3 linked regions of the Zea mays genome follow. The protein of the gene in region 1 interacts with the protein of each later gene in a pairwise test. Links are inferred from orthologs where the notes say so. Each region holds a gene or a part of one and is shown on either strand. Other genes may lie near its edges. The genes, in order: guanine nucleotide-binding protein subunit beta, Coleoptile phototropism protein 1 and AGG2.

What was found.
Region 2: the proteins of guanine nucleotide-binding protein subunit beta (region 1) and Coleoptile phototropism protein 1 interact in a two-hybrid assay, tested with the Arabidopsis thaliana proteins (2 studies listed by BioGRID, with this or other methods). The link is inferred for Zea mays from reciprocal best matches to the Arabidopsis thaliana genes AGB1 and NPH3.
Region 3: the proteins of guanine nucleotide-binding protein subunit beta (region 1) and AGG2 interact in a two-hybrid assay, tested with the Arabidopsis thaliana proteins (2 studies listed by BioGRID, with this or other methods). The link is inferred for Zea mays from reciprocal best matches to the Arabidopsis thaliana genes AGB1 and AGG2.

Annotation. Positions count from the first base shown.
Region 1 is NC_050096.1:264,530,925-264,536,056, forward strand, and holds the end of guanine nucleotide-binding protein subunit beta, read right to left. Parts: exon of another isoform or gene 4,581-5,132; coding exon 4,156-4,580; intron 2,963-4,155; coding exon 2,599-2,962; intron 1,878-2,598; coding exon 1,764-1,877; intron 1,368-1,763; coding exon 1,332-1,367; 3' UTR 1,021-1,331; downstream 1-1,020. UniProt on the Arabidopsis thaliana protein: Guanine nucleotide-binding proteins (G proteins) are involved as a modulator or transducer in various transmembrane signaling systems.
Region 2 is NC_050100.1:178,902,207-178,907,338, forward strand, and holds the start of Coleoptile phototropism protein 1, read right to left. Parts: upstream 3,185-5,132; 5' UTR 3,183-3,184; coding exon 3,049-3,182; intron 2,935-3,048; coding exon 2,865-2,934; intron 2,725-2,864; coding exon 2,073-2,724; intron 665-2,072; coding exon 1-664. UniProt on the Arabidopsis thaliana protein: May act as a substrate-specific adapter of an E3 ubiquitin-protein ligase complex (CUL3-RBX1-BTB) which mediates the ubiquitination and subsequent proteasomal degradation of target proteins.
Region 3 is NC_050096.1:259,635,325-259,640,456, reverse strand, and holds AGG2, read right to left. Parts: upstream 3,678-5,132; 5' UTR 3,561-3,677; coding exon 3,459-3,560; intron 1,346-3,458; coding exon 1,293-1,345; intron 1,170-1,292; coding exon 1,125-1,169; intron 1,012-1,124; coding exon 927-1,011; 3' UTR 621-926; downstream 1-620. UniProt on the Arabidopsis thaliana protein: Guanine nucleotide-binding proteins (G proteins) are involved as a modulator or transducer in various transmembrane signaling systems.

The sequences.
Region 1 (5,132 bases):
TTGGTCCACGTGTCGCGATCTGATTGGTCCACGTGTGCTAGCCGTTGCAACTAGCCGTTTTTGACCGTTTGGAGCCCAAAAAATTCGAAAAAAATTGCAAAATATCACAAATTTCATCCCCAATCCCTCTATATATACTTTGTAATTTTATTTTAATTATCATGTTATTTTATTTTAATTATTACGTACTTTGTAATTTTTAATTCAATAAAAAATATTATGTTGTGTGTTTTCTCAGCGTTGAAATAAATCCGCGTGAATTACTTAATTCTGAAATAGAAAAGCTGACGTGGCTATAGCCTGAGGCTGTAGCCTGCTGCAGCCTGTGCACTGGAGCAGCCGGGGCGAGAGTGGAGGCGAGAGCTGACGTGGCAGGGGCGAGAGGGTGGACTCAGCCTAAGGTTCGGTTGGCTCGCAGCGTCTCCTGGGTCATGGACGTTTCTGGGAGTTTGGCTGGGTTCTTAGTGGGAATGACAAGTCAATGAAAGATGCATACCTGGAACAACAGTTTTGATATTTGATGTTTCCCTCGCCTCGCATCATGTACATTTATTTATTATTATTATTTTATGACTTCGAGAGTACACTCAAGATAAACATTTGCTTCGCCTTGCCTCATGCACATATATTAAATACTAGTATTTTGTAGTTAGTTGCCAGTGCATTATTATGATTATTTATAATATTTTTTTCTTTATACAAGACAAGTGGATATGAAAAGGCAAGTTTGAGAACCCCATTTTCCAAAGGATTTACATTTTTCCAAGAAAATTAGTTTATTTTCTCTTGGAGAAATAGAAATCACTTAAAAAATAGTTCCCAAACTAGCCCCAGGGAAGGAAGTGAGGCAAAGTTTGAATCCTGCACGCCCCATTCTTTGCTCGCCAGTCGCTGGGGCAAAGGGAGGGAGGAGGATGCACAAAGAAATTCATGCTTCAAAAGTGTGGTGATTACTAAACATAAAATGCATATAGTACGCCCCATTAAGCTAATGTTCTTAATTCAGCAAATGGACAAACTGATATGATAAATTGATTAAGGAAATACATGCTACTTCACAAAACCTGAAAAGATCAAACGGTTGTACAAAGAAAAGGGCAGATCACACGTTACTGATATTCTCGTAATAACAGTATAAACAGTTACCAACTCAACAAGATGTAGCGCCGTGACACTGACAAATTGCACATTTTTCCATTAAACATAGCGCGAACAGAGCTTACAAAACAACAAAGGGATTCCCAGGAACAAGTCGAGTTGGTCACCAATCACCACTGTCCGTTGTTAAGGGGCAACAAGGAACATACAACATGGGGGAGAAAAGTTGGCCTTCAAACTATCTTCCGGTGTCCACTGAAGGCCCAAATCTGTAAATTTTCAACAATTGACACCATCGATATAAAAAATACTGAAATTTGCACCAAACTACTATTTATCTGGGAATTCTCAGGATTAGTGATAGAATATGCTAAGAGTGGGGAAAAAGAAGAGTATAATCCATTATTCCATCCTAGGTACCAAGAACTAAGAAGTACCGTATTTCAATCCAAAGAGTATTCGTCATCAATACCAAGTAAAGATTTAACCAGAGTACTCTAATGAAAGGTATTCACTTTGAGTAGGGTTTAACAAACAGCATAAGCTGAGTATGCATGTAGTACAACTACTACTTCAGTTAGAGTAAAACTGTTAGTGTCAAAGGCAACAATTCAACAAAACTGAGGAAGCAGTCAATGAAAATGATCTTTCTTAAGTGTCCTTACCTTCAAATTTTTGTCCCAGCTTCCTGTACACAATGCACTCCCATCAGATGACATCCCGAGGCAACTTATACGGCCATCATGGGAGTTTTGCAGGTTTCCCAAATTAAGTACCACCTGCAAAATTTCAACGGAAATTGACAACAGAAGGTACTATAAACAATAATGACAAACAGATAAAAAATAACGGAGGTGACCGACAAGCCTTCACAATAACTTGAACTCAGATAAGCTTTTAAATGCAGGTATACAATTATCCATTAAGTTGGCCTAAATCAAAACCAACGTTCTAAACCTCTTGGCATATAGCACTAACTAGGAATCTCTTGATACAATACAAGGTGATCTGCAGCAGCATCCTCTAAATTTGTATGCATGACCTGCCTAGTCTAGGTTGATGATATATGTGGACTAATATGGAAGGAACCGAGGCTAGGTTACTTATTCATGAGGTCCTGGGTCCAATGCAAACATCAATTCATGCAATTGCAATAGTTGCTGAGGAGCATTTCAAATAAAAATTTAGGCAGTTAGTTCATCATATTCCATTGCTTTCTCCCGTGGCTAGATTTCGCATTTGTATGCTTATATTGCTACTGACTGGCAATGGAGTTATGCTTATCTAACATAAAGATTATATCACTAGTGTTAACTGATTGCCTAACATTGAATTTATGTGGCTCACACCAAGTGAACTGTATGTCATATTTTTCTCGATTAAGAAAACCGTGGCGAAACAGTAAAGTGTACCAGTAACTTGTTGATTATGGGCATTAGTTTTCCTTTGTAATATAAAATAAGCTGTATTCAATCCATGGTAAATGGTAAAAATGCAAACCTCGGCGAGAAGTGTGTCCCACACATAACAGTCACCATTGGAGTAACCAGCAAAAAGTAGCCTTCCTGATATTGAAAATGCAATAGATGTAACAGTAGGTAGTTCATTACTATTTCTATCAGGCTCCCTACTGTACACCTGAAGTTGATGCCCTGTTCTCATATCAAATAATCTACATGTGCCATCATCTGAGCCAGTACCAAACCTATGGCCATCAGGGAAAAACTTCACACTGTTAACATCATCCTCATGTCCATGGTAGGTTCGAACAGCTCGACTTGCAATTCTGATATCCCACAGCCTCACAGTTGTATCACATGAGCCAGAGACAAACATATTTGTATTTGATGAGTTGATGGACACACTGAACAAGAAAGGGAAAGGTCAGAGAATTCAAAACCAAACTCCAAATATCAATGATAACCTGATAAACCAGCACTTTCAGTTAAAAAACGCAACATAAATGTGCTACCATATGTTACTTTGGTTCATGTATTTGCTGCATAGACAACATATTTTGCACATGCGTCTGCTAGACTAGTTGGTAAGTAGTGCCCAATTGTACTAGGGCAATTGCATCCATAATAAGTGATGTAATATCAGCAATCTTAGGCAAGAGTGTTATCCAAATGCCTACTGTGCTACCATGTGAAGACCTTACCACTCCACCTCCGGTCCAACAAGCACGCACATGCGCACACAATACCAAATACTCCATCCATTTCAATTTATAGGTTGTTTTGGATTTTGTAGATACATAACCTCTATTATGTATTTAGACATATTGTATATCTAGCTATATAGCAAAAATTGAAAAGCCAAAACGACCTATAATTTGGGTCAGAGAGTGGAAAAATGCACTACCAAGTCATATCTCATGGTGGATCAATGAAACTAATCTGATATTGTAGATATTGGTGCATTTTCAATAAACTTAGTAAATAGTGTTAAATGCACTGAAACCCTAACCCTAATGTGGGTTGGGAATGTATTAGTATAGCAGAGTATGTGGGCCAAAGCCCATTACAGGAGAGAATACACACACAGTTACCTAAGGCTATCTCCAGCAGTTTACCCATACCCATACTCATAGTCAAACTCTACTCTGTGAATAGTAGAGTCTACAGTGCAAAACAGTGTTTTGGGTAACTAGAACTGCTGCACAAATAGAGAAGTTTGATTTATGACAAACTAAAATACCAACAATTTGGAATGGAAGGAGTACTTGTTATTACTAAAATTACATTCAGTACTAAAAAGTACGTTTTCATTGTCCAACTGTAACAGCAGACAAATACAAACCAGTCATTGTAGGTAAACTTTATTCAAATCCACATGAATAATATTCAGTTTACAAAGAAAACTTTAGAAGCAATAGGGATAATTTGATCATCGAACATTGACATATTGGTAAAGCTAGCAACCTAGTGTGCACCAGCCTAAGTTAAAAATGTACAAATGAGAAGATACCAATTAACTTTGAGGAGAGAAATCAGAAGCGCTACACATGGCACTAAAATATTCAGTCTTCAAAAAATCAGAAGCACTACCAATTACCTTTGAACATCAGCTGTATGCCCTGATGGGAATTCACCACCAAATATTGATATCCTCTGTCCAGTAGTAACATCCCAAAGAACACATGTTTGATCACCTGAACTAGTAATAAGACGTGTTTCCTGATCTGGGACATATTGACATGATGAGACATAGCCCTTGTGTCCAGTAAGAATTCTTGATACTGGCATGTTCCCATCTCTGTCTGCTTGAGAATTGAGATTGAAAATAGAGCACGCACTATCAAGACCACCACAGGCGACAGATTGGCCATTGGGTGCAAAAGCACACGCCATAACCCATGGGCAATGCAGCTTTATGGCATGTGTTTTCTGGCTTGTCAATGCATTCCACACAATTAACCTTCCATCTTGAGAGGCACTGACTATCCAATTCTTTTCAGGGGTCCAATCCAGAGAATATACCTGTGATGATTGATGACTTAGGAGTTAATAGAATACCACTAAACCATTTGATGCAGCAATTTTGCAAGTAGTACCCTACACAGATAGCTGAAGTGCTGAATTTCCAAGAATCACCGCAAAATCCAAATATATGCAATTATGCATCTTCGAACAGGTGGAAGTCCATGTCTCCAAAAGTTTTCATAACTTTAGCAACATGATGAGGTGTTCTGCTCTAGTTAAATGGCCCTCACAAAAAAATACTCTAGTTAAATGGCAATAAATCTGGAAGATCCTAATTTTTAGCAGCAGGGAGGAGGCTTGCCTCGGTTTATCCCTTCCCCAGGCCCCTTTTATCAAAGCTAGGGCAAAAGAAGGCTGCCAAGTGCCACCAAAATAATGGGATGATATAATCCTTGTTAGCTTGCTTCTGAAGAGAAAGAATGATTTCCCTTTTACAATGATGATTTGACTTGCCCCCTAGAAATAATCATTATCCCCCCTCATATAGTAGAATTGCAGAATTGTTTACTTGTACCTCTAGCTACCAATTATCGAATAATATTTCAGTGA
Region 2 (5,132 bases), on another chromosome or scaffold:
GACAGGTTGCGGTCGCGGGACACCTCGGAGAGGTAGCTGTCGAGCAGCCGGGCGACGCGCGCCTTGGCGTTCAGCCCCGCCGACGCCGACGCTGCCGCGGCGCCCGCCGTCCTAGCGCCGTAGTACTCGGGCAGCGGCGGCTGCTCCACGCGGCCGGGGCTGGACGACGCCAGCAGCTCCGTCTGCTCCTGCACCAGGAAGTGCTCGACGAGGCGCTGCACGAGGTCCACGTCGTAGGCGGTGTCGGCGCGGCCGTAGGAGGGGATGAGCAGGTCGGCCAGCACCGCCTGCTCGAGCTGCATGCCCACGCGCTTCTCCAGCTCCGTCACCAGCGCCGGGGCGGCCTTCAGCATGACGGCCAGGCGGAGCAGGCGGAGGAGGAAGCCGCACGAGACGCTGTCGCGCTGCAGCGGGATGATGCTGATCAGGCTCTCCACCACCATGCGCTGCTCCCGCGCCGGCGTGCTCCCGGCGATGTCGTCCTTGCCGCCGCCGCCGCCGCCGCCGCTGGCGATGATCATGTGGAGCCCGCCGCCGGGGGACGCCTGGGCCTGAGCCCAGGGCTCCTCCAGCGCGCCGCCGTGCGGGCCGTCCTTGGTGAGACCCGGGAGCCATTTGGATGCGTAGTGGGTGATGGACGCGCCGATGAGATCGAACCGCATGCCTACCACAAAGAGAAAGAGGCAACGAACAGGAAATTGTTTCGATTACTAGCTTCACTCACAAATGATAAAGTAACAATGTTGTGTATCATCAATAATTCCTCTTTATTATGCTGATACGACACAAGAGTACCATAGGTAAAAAAAAAAATAGATGAAAAGAAGAAAAAAGATAGAGCACGAAGTGGAGGCCAGAGTCACGTTAATATTGGGTGCAGTTTAATTACTAACACACACATGGTTTATATTACTTTCATTTTAATTTATAATTTGTTTGACTTTTTTAGTCGAGTTTGATCAGCTCGTCTTATTACTAGCACACACACAATTTATTTCTCACATGAGGCTTTGCTTGAGTACTCTAGTATTTAGATCAATACACATGTATTAAGGTGCATTGAAATGTAAATTAGTTTAACTTACACTTTAGGGTTTGTTCGGTTAGCTCTCAATTCATGTGGATTGAGTGAGATTGGATAGGTTCGAATCTCAAATAAGTCAAATTTATTCTTATTTTTTTCCAATCATATCTAACCCATGTGTATTGGGAATAACCGAACAAAATTCTATTCAATCCATGTGTATTGGGGCAACTGATGCAAATTATGTTCAGAGTCTGTTGGTTTATTTGGTGCTGATGGGCAAATGGAAGGGTCTCCGTGCGTCCCATTCCCACGGCCCACGTCGGCGGCGATCTGATCCTACCGGCCGGCATCTCCCTCCAAATAGAATGGAAAGGACGATGTGACGGCTTGCCACTCAGAGCGTTGTGGCTCCAACATTCCAACATCAACGAAACCGCCAATGAAAACAACAGCTGGCGTAATTTGCACTGGTTCTGAAAGCTAATGGAACTGGAAGGCTAGTTTAATTTTATCTCGTTTTCATGTAGAAGTTGAATAAAAAAATTTCTACCGTTTGGTTTCACGGGATTCATCAAATTGATTTGGTACCAAATTAAGGGGAAGACACACATATATGGTGACCAGGAGTGAAGCCGGGGCCCAGCTTCACTGTCGACGGCAGCTCATGTGATTGTGCCAGTGTCTTGGGCTCTTGGCACAGCTTGAACAATGCACACTGTGCTCCACTGTTCATGACACTTGCGCCATAAAACTATTTTGTTTTTTGTTTTCCCTCACATGCATGCGCGCAGATAAGAATGTTGTTTTCTCGACAGGGAGGAACATTGAACGGTACTAATAATCCGTGCTGCACTCATGTAGCTGGATCAGTACGTGAATGGTCCATCGATCTAGCTGTTAGCTAGCTAGTACTAGTACTAATCAGAGTTTTTTTTTGTGTGTGTGTGGAAGGAGATACTAATTGGAGATAATACCTTCTTAAACATGAGCATTAATATAAGATACAGTGTGATTAAGCTAGCGGTCGATCGCTATGGTACGGTACCTTTGACCTTGATGGCGGTGACGACGCGCACGAAGTGGTCGATCCGGAGCATGGACACGTCCTCGAACCACCAGTCCGGCGGCGGCACGGCCTGCCGGCTCGGGCTCGACTCCTTGGAGTCCCCGCCGCCGCCGCCGAGGTTCCACCGGGGGCTCGCCGTGCCGCCGCCGGCGCCTGCCCTGGTGGTCGGCATCGGCCTCCCCCCACCGCCGCCGGTGTAGGCCCAGCGCACGCCCCGCGGGTTGGCGCAGGCCTTCCAGGCGATGGACTCGCTGCAGCGGCGCACGATCTGCAGGTTCTCGGCCCAGGGCGAGAGGCCCTCGCAGGTCTTGAGCACCACGATGGAGTCCCGCCACGACGACAGCACCACGTAGCTGAGGAACGCCTCCGTCTTGAAGATGAGGTTGCCTTCCTCCAGCTCCTCCGTCATCTCCAGGTACTCGGCGGCGCAGCGCAGCCCCGAGATGTTGCCCGCCGTCAGGTCCACCGCCATGCCGTAGCAGAACCGCGCCGCCAGCTCGAACGAGTCCGCGCCGCCCGGGACGTCGTCCAGCTCCACCACCACCGCCGCCGCCGCGCCCGAGTCCGGGGCCGCCGCCGCCGTCTCGTAGATCACGCGGCTCATCCGCCCGCTCCGGGAGATCATCGGGTACTGCGGGCATCAGGGGTGCAGGCGCGCGCGCGTGCGCATGCATATATTGGATATGAATATGATCGTGTGGTTGCAGCTAGCACGACGTACGGGAACAATAAATTATGAAATAATTAACAAAGCCACTAGCAGCTAGCTACCTTGTGAAGGTGGAAGCTAACATCTCCAACTTTGACAAGCAAATCGCTGGGAATATCGCTGTTTACATACCTGCTCAAAATCATTCGCTCGGAACGGTGAACATCAACTTTAATTAATTAGCACTAAAATTATATACATGGATGAACGAAGTATATAGCTAGCTAGCTAGCTAGCTAGATGTACCAGGACTGGTCTCTTCGAACAAAGCCGTCGTTCTTGAGCGCTGCCTCGTACCGGCCCGAGGAGCCGCCGCCGCCGACAGGGACGAGCCCGCGCTCGCGCTCACCGGCATGGCAATCGCCCTCTGACTCCCACATCGTCTTCAATCGACGCTCGCCTCGCCTTGACTGAACGACTACAGAAGCTTGTGTGTGTGCGTGTATATAGCTCTCTCCGGGGTGCTCTCTCTCTCTCTCTCTCTATATGATATTCATGAAAAGAAATGGACAGACGAGCAAACTTGTCATTACTACTGCCTTCATTTGGTTCCAGATAAGAAGTCATTTTTTTAGTTAAAATATCTCTAATTTGACCAACACACTATAAAAATTGCATTGACAAAGGTCAAATCGGAGATACTTTAGCTTTCAAAAAATATTAAATGACTTATGATTTAGAAATTTAAATGGATTATAACTTAGAGTGGATGAAGTAAGGTAGTCCAATTTAAGAAACTAAAATGGTTACTTCATATGGAAACTGCGCGAGTGCACGCGGATGGGAGATGATGAATAAGCAGCAGCACTGCAGCAGGGTACTGCAGCCGTCCTGCTCTCGTTGTCGTTGCAACTGTGTATGTAGTACTCCCTCCCCTTCCTTGAAAATGTAGTTAAATTTTAAAGTATTTGATTTCGTAAAAGTACAAGATGTATACATGTTTTACGATGGTGGAAAGTAGGTGTTGATTTACGATTGACAATACCAGCAGCGGCTGATGCTGCTGCTAGCCACTCGCTATATGGCAGTGGAGAAGCGACTTCCATACAAAAGGAGCACTATTTTTTTTTGACAACGGGAAACCCCCTATTTCATTAAAAAATAGAAACCGATCACAGTTCTTACAAAATTCCCGACTTAACCAACAACTGCAAGCCGATAAGCCTACTACATTATCAGCTACGCAGTGTTATAAAATCCAACTGAAGGAACATAGCAAACCAGAAGTAATCTGAAAGACTAACAGTCATCTATGGAGATCAACTAGGGACAGTTCCCAAAAGCAGCCTGACCCGCCAATACCAGCGACGACTAAAGCTAGTTTTTATCTACCAAAGCAGATAAGCTGAATACATCCAAGAACAAAAAGATGCATAAGCAGCAGCAAAATGTCACTGGAGGCGTCTATCGACCGGCTTCCAACCATATATTTTAATTACATCATTTTTTATGATAGTAATCATGTTTAAGCTGCTTAACATGATTATTAGGTATTATTGTAGTACAAATATCATAAAAAATGATAAATAAATATTAAATAACTTGCTTATAATGTATAGGGGAATGGTTGAAGATGGAGAGGTCTAAGATGTAATAAGATATAATAGAAAGTATAGGTAAAGGGAGATGAATATGGGGAATAGCTCGTGATATAACCCGAGCTGGACTTCTACTCCCTCTGTCATAAAATAAATCTACATATCTCGCATTTGAAAACAGTTAAATAATCTAAACTTCGATCAAATATATGTTAAAACTATTAATATTCATGGTGCTAGCTATATAGTCACTATTGAATTAACGGCATCATATCTTTTATAGTAACGGACGTACAGATATCGATACTGATATCTATAAATATAATTAAAGTTGAGGTTGATTATTTTGTCGAAATATGAAATAAAGACTTTTTCTTTTTGAAGGGAGGCTAGCCAGCAATAGCAAGCAAGTAGAGGGTGGCCGGATGGATATAGGCCGGCGGGAGAGAGGAGAGGGGGAATAGGTGTGTATCTCGGTTGGTTGGTGCTGCTGATTATTGGATCTGGATCGTACGTCGCGCGAGCGAGTGCGGGCGCCGGTCGTCGATCGATCGTAGGCTCATAGGTTATGGGGCCGTGGTTCGTCGAGGAGCTAGCGATGGAGAGAGCACATGGGGTGTTTTGCTCTCGGCGTTGGACGACCTAGCGAGCTGCTCCTGATAGCACGTACTCGGATATGGTGGTCACCGCGCTCACCACCAGGCACCAGCTGCCTGCTTCTCCTCCTCGTCGTTACCTGCAGACAAATAGGTAGCCAGCAGATCGAGAGGTCTCGGATCAGCCGCTCTCCGG
Region 3 (5,132 bases), about 4.9 Mb from region 1:
GAAACTGCTTCTGCAACGGGTTGTGGACCGTCCGTGGCTCCGCAGAAAGTACCGCTGCAGTACAGCTCGCAATGATTGGTGCTCAAATCGGCACCAACAATATAATATTACGCATGGTATTGTTTAAAAAAGCATGCACACATACTCCACCGTAGATGTATGTACACATACGTACTAATATACATGTACGTCCAATATAGCAAAACAAAAACAGGCCTTGGGTAAGCAAGCAGGAGTACGACATGCCCCATACGCTGATACGCTCACAGGAAACCGTGTGAAGATTACACGTCTGTGTATATCAATCAATCGTAATTCGGGGAAAAAAACATGCCTTCTTGGTCACAGCAAAGAGTCAGCTGCCATCGTACTGGAGCGGTCTGGCGGTGGCCTGGCGATGTCAGATTTCTATTTCCCCGCGCATGCAAGCGAGCAGGTAAAAATGTTAGGCTGCAGCAGCGCGTACAAGCCAGAGTCGTGCTCCCGCAGGCAACCAATCACTAGCTCACACACGGTCAACGCTGACATGAATATGGCGAGCAGGGTAACCAATCACGTGGATTATGTAAGTTCCCACGCCATGGTACAATAATTTGAAATGTTAGTAGCACAAGGATCACAGAAAAGTAAGGCATTTGGGTTGGATAAACACAAAACAAACTGATTGCCAGTCAACAAGAGTTCAGTTCAGTCTACAGAGAACATGTTAGGACAAAGTTTGTCACTTTTGAATTCCAGATTTCTGTCCTCACTTCTCAGGCCATTTCCTGAGTCCTTCACGCCTTACACGGATCTTTGGATGATGCCATCCAGAATCCTCGCCTCAAATGGATACTGGTTATACTGCGGGGACAAAAAAAATGATGTACACTTGAATGGTAGCAAGAATCGCCTCTTGCTGTTTCTCTTGATAATATTGCCCAGTATCACAAAAACCAGCATTTGCATCCGCGCAGATCTTGAGGACCTTCAAACCACCTATCCCAGGACTGATTCACAGGTCCAGCAGATCTGCAACAACAGGGGAAACGAAAAACAAACAAACAAGCAAAGGCAATATTGTGAATATATCAGTTAGATGTTTGGATAAAAAGCAACATAAGTAACTTTTTCGCTTCTCTTACACAGGAAGTAGAGGGTCAGCTTTTCTTTCCATTGCTATTAGAAACCTGGCCACGTAAAACAGCCCAGTCAATCTCCAGCAACAAGCCATATAAAAATTGCCTTCAGATCATAAGCACCATAGCAAAATGCTGGGTTTAAATCACATTTCTTCTGCAGGTGACACGTACTCTTGCAACGCAGATGATACCTTATCCGCTTTATCGAGCTCTTCAAGTTCCTCCTGCACTCAATCGCACTGACGCATCAGTGTTTGAAAACTGAGAACATCACTACTTAGGTAAGGGTGGAAAACTACAACAGCTTAGATAGTAATTACATCTTTGCCACTTGTGCATAGTTATTATGTACTCCCTCCGTCCCAGGATATAAGGCGTAACCACCTCTGGTTCAAAGACCAAGAAATGCATTTAATTGTCTCTATACCACTGCATCGATATACGTATGCATAGAGAGAGCACGCCTTATATTGTGGGACAAGAATAAAAAGTGGTTACGCCTTATATCTTGGGACGGAGGGAGTATTAACAAAAGGAAAAAAAACTTTGACAGATCTGACGATAATGTCCAGAACGCAGAGGAAATGTAGTCTACAGCACTGATATTGATAAATTTATTATGTGGTTAGTTGGTAATGTGTAGCTTTGCTTATTTGCGTATATGTTGTGGGCCAGGGCATAAGCTGAAGATTCAGAAACAAAAATGACAATTGAAGATGCTCTTTATATGTACACAAAGATGCTACAGGATGGGCCATGTGGACAGTAAATCGATAATCCAATCTCTACCTGAATGGAAATGATAACGGCCAAAAACAATGCAGACGAATCATCACAATTTGGCCAAAAAAGTGAAGCTTATGATAAGTTGTCTATATCACATTCACAAGTAAAACTTGTGGAAAATGTTATTTTCTGGAAGGTCTGATGATCTATCTGTCGGATCCAGGCTGTTGATTAATAAAAAACAGAGGGAGCAGGAATGACCATGCTGCATTACTACATGCTTGGAAGGTACAGTATGTCCATCACTTGATGGTATCTGCTGGTATTTCTGCTTCAGAAAGACTGCAGCTCGTAGATGTCAATGGAAGGATTTCACCATATAAAGAACTAGGATGCTATTAAAAGTTATCAAGACTCGACAGTTCTACATGCTTTTAAACTTGCATGAATTCTTCGGTGCCTTATAAACATATAAACAAATATTTCAGCAAAAAAAAAAAAAACAACAACGTCAAACAAGCAAACAGTAATGTTCAAGATATGTCCCTTGCCCAACATACAAGTTTACCATAAGACATTGCTGAGCCAACATACGAGCTTGTCAGTTATTATTAGCTGCTTAGCTTCATGGCTCCAGCTTCAGAATGTCAAAGATAAATAGATAATGCATATATAAATGGTAGCAGGCTCTATGTCCTTAATAAAATCACTTTCGCTGATCTTGCTGCTCAAGTATACTTATTAGAAAAGAAATATGTTCTGCTTTATAAATGGTTTTAACCAACACTGCTATGTGCTGTCCCACAAATAAGTACATATATTTAAAGTACAGACGCTGCATCTCAGAAACTAGAAAACAGGTTCCCATGGCCACAGGTCCCCCCACCCACCCACCCAGAAAGGAGCATCACCACGCCTCATCAGAGGTTTCAGTCTTCAGTACACTGTCCCCAATCATTTGGTGCAGAAGAATCAGTAGGGTTTTCGACTACAGACTGCAATATATCTATCAAGGCATAAAACTCCAACTAGTCGGACAGAAAGAGCTACTCCGCGTTTGTCCCCATCAGAAAAAAGGCCCACACAACGGAACGGAAAAATGAATATTCGCAACAAGCACATTGTTGCAGCAGGACAAGGCAGGAAACAAAGAGCACATGGAGCTTGCACTTGCACATGCACATGGCTGCTTCTCCCAACCCAGACCCACCTGCACCTCCACGAGGAAGGAACGCAGGAAAACGCGGGTCTTGGGAAACCATAGCAAGAAAAGATGTCCCTAACTTCCCATGGCCATTATTTCCTCATGGATCATAAGAGGGAGAATATGAATCTCGGAAATTATGCCACGGATTGTTCTAGACTGTTCTGCATACTTTGACCATTGGGCTAGAAAGCAGCATGCTTGGCCGAATTCGGTGGGATGGATACTCCCTACCCCTGCATTTCAGGAGATCATACCACCAAGAAGTCCTCTGAAAAGGAGTTTTCCTTTTTGCGATGATCAATTCTTTTTGGAACACAGCCAAGCCAGCATAGTACGCACTAACGCTATGGAATCGACGAGGCAGGAAGCGAGTTCATGGGGGGAGGGGAGACAGGGGCACACACCTCGAGGAAGCGCGCCTCCTGCTCGAGCTTCTTGAGCTCGGCCTGGATCCGGTGGCGGCCCCGCAAGTCCGCCGAGTCCCCACCGCCGTCCCCGACCTGCATCGCCGTCCGATGAGCGGGAGAGGGTTGGTGCGATCCAGTGAGGCGCAAGGTAACTGGCAGGCACAGCGGAAGCGTGAGTGGGTTGGGGAAGCGAGCAGGCGGAGAGGAAGAAGACGAGGAACTGTCACGGAATGCGGGTGGCCAGACCAGAAAGGTTCTGCCTTTTTTTTTTTTTTGAACAATTGGATCTATACCATTAAAAGATCCAAACTTTAGATATATACCATGGACCTCACATGTCATTGACTCATGTGGACCCACATGTAAGTGAGATAGTAATGGTATGGATTCAAAGTGGTGATCTTTTAATGGTATGAATCCAAATTTCCCTTTTTTTTGGTTAACGTGAGAGGTTTGGGCTCTGACAGTGGAGGGTTTATTCTAACAACTGTACTAGAGTACTAGACCAAGTGACCAACTCCCACTCTCCCACTCGGTTATCCTGTCCGTTTCTTCCTCCAATTCTTTTCCTTTTCCAGTTTTCATTTTTTAAAATAATATAAAGTACTAATTAAATCGTTCTTTACTAGCTATTGTCGTATATTTCGATTATGAGATTTGACAGATTATGAGATTTGACAAATGAATGTCAAAACAACTTTTCTTAATGGAAAACTAGATAAGGATGTGTATATGATACAACCCGAGGGTTTTGTCGATCCGATCAATGCTGGAAAGATATGCAAACTTCAGAAATCTATTTATGGGTTGAAGCAAGCATTTCGGAGTTGGAACATTCATTTTGATGAAGTGGTTAAAGGGTTTGGTTTTCATCAGAATGAAGAAGCTTGTGTTTAAAAGAACGAAAGTGGGAGCGCTGCTGTATTTCTGATCTTGTATGTGGATGACATATTATTGATTGGGAACGATATTCCTATGCTGGAGTCCATCAATGTTTCACTGAAAAAGAGTTTTTATATGAAAGATTTAGAGAAAACAACATATATTTTGGGCATAAGGATCTATAGAGATAGGTCGAAGTGGCTTATAGGATTAAGTCAAGATACATACATTGACAAGGTATTAAAATAGATCAACATGGAATAGTCCAAGAAAGGGTTCTTACCTATGTCACATCGTATACACCTTATGAAGAAGCAGTGTCCTACAACAGCTAATGAGCGAGAGCGCATGAGTAAGGTATCGTACGTCTCGGCAATTGGATCAATCATGTATGCCATGATAAGTACACACCCAGATGTTTCATATGCTATAAGTGCTATGAGTAGGCACTAGACTGATCCAAGTGAGGATCACTAAACAACGGTAAAAGGCATTCTTAAGTAATTGAGAAGGACTAAAGATATGTTCATGGTATATGGGGGTTCGGAGGAGCTCGTTGTAACTGGTTACACCGATGCTAGCTTCTAAACTGATCCAGACGAGTTAAAATCGCAATCAGGTTTTGTGTTCATAATAAATGGTGGTGTTGTTAGCGGGAAGAGTTCCAAGCAGGAGACTGTGACTGATTCTACAACAGAAGCCAAGTACATTGCAGCTTCTGAATTTGTGAAGGAAGGTGTTTGGATACGGAAGATCCTCATCGAGCTTGCTGTGTTTCCTAATGCCTCT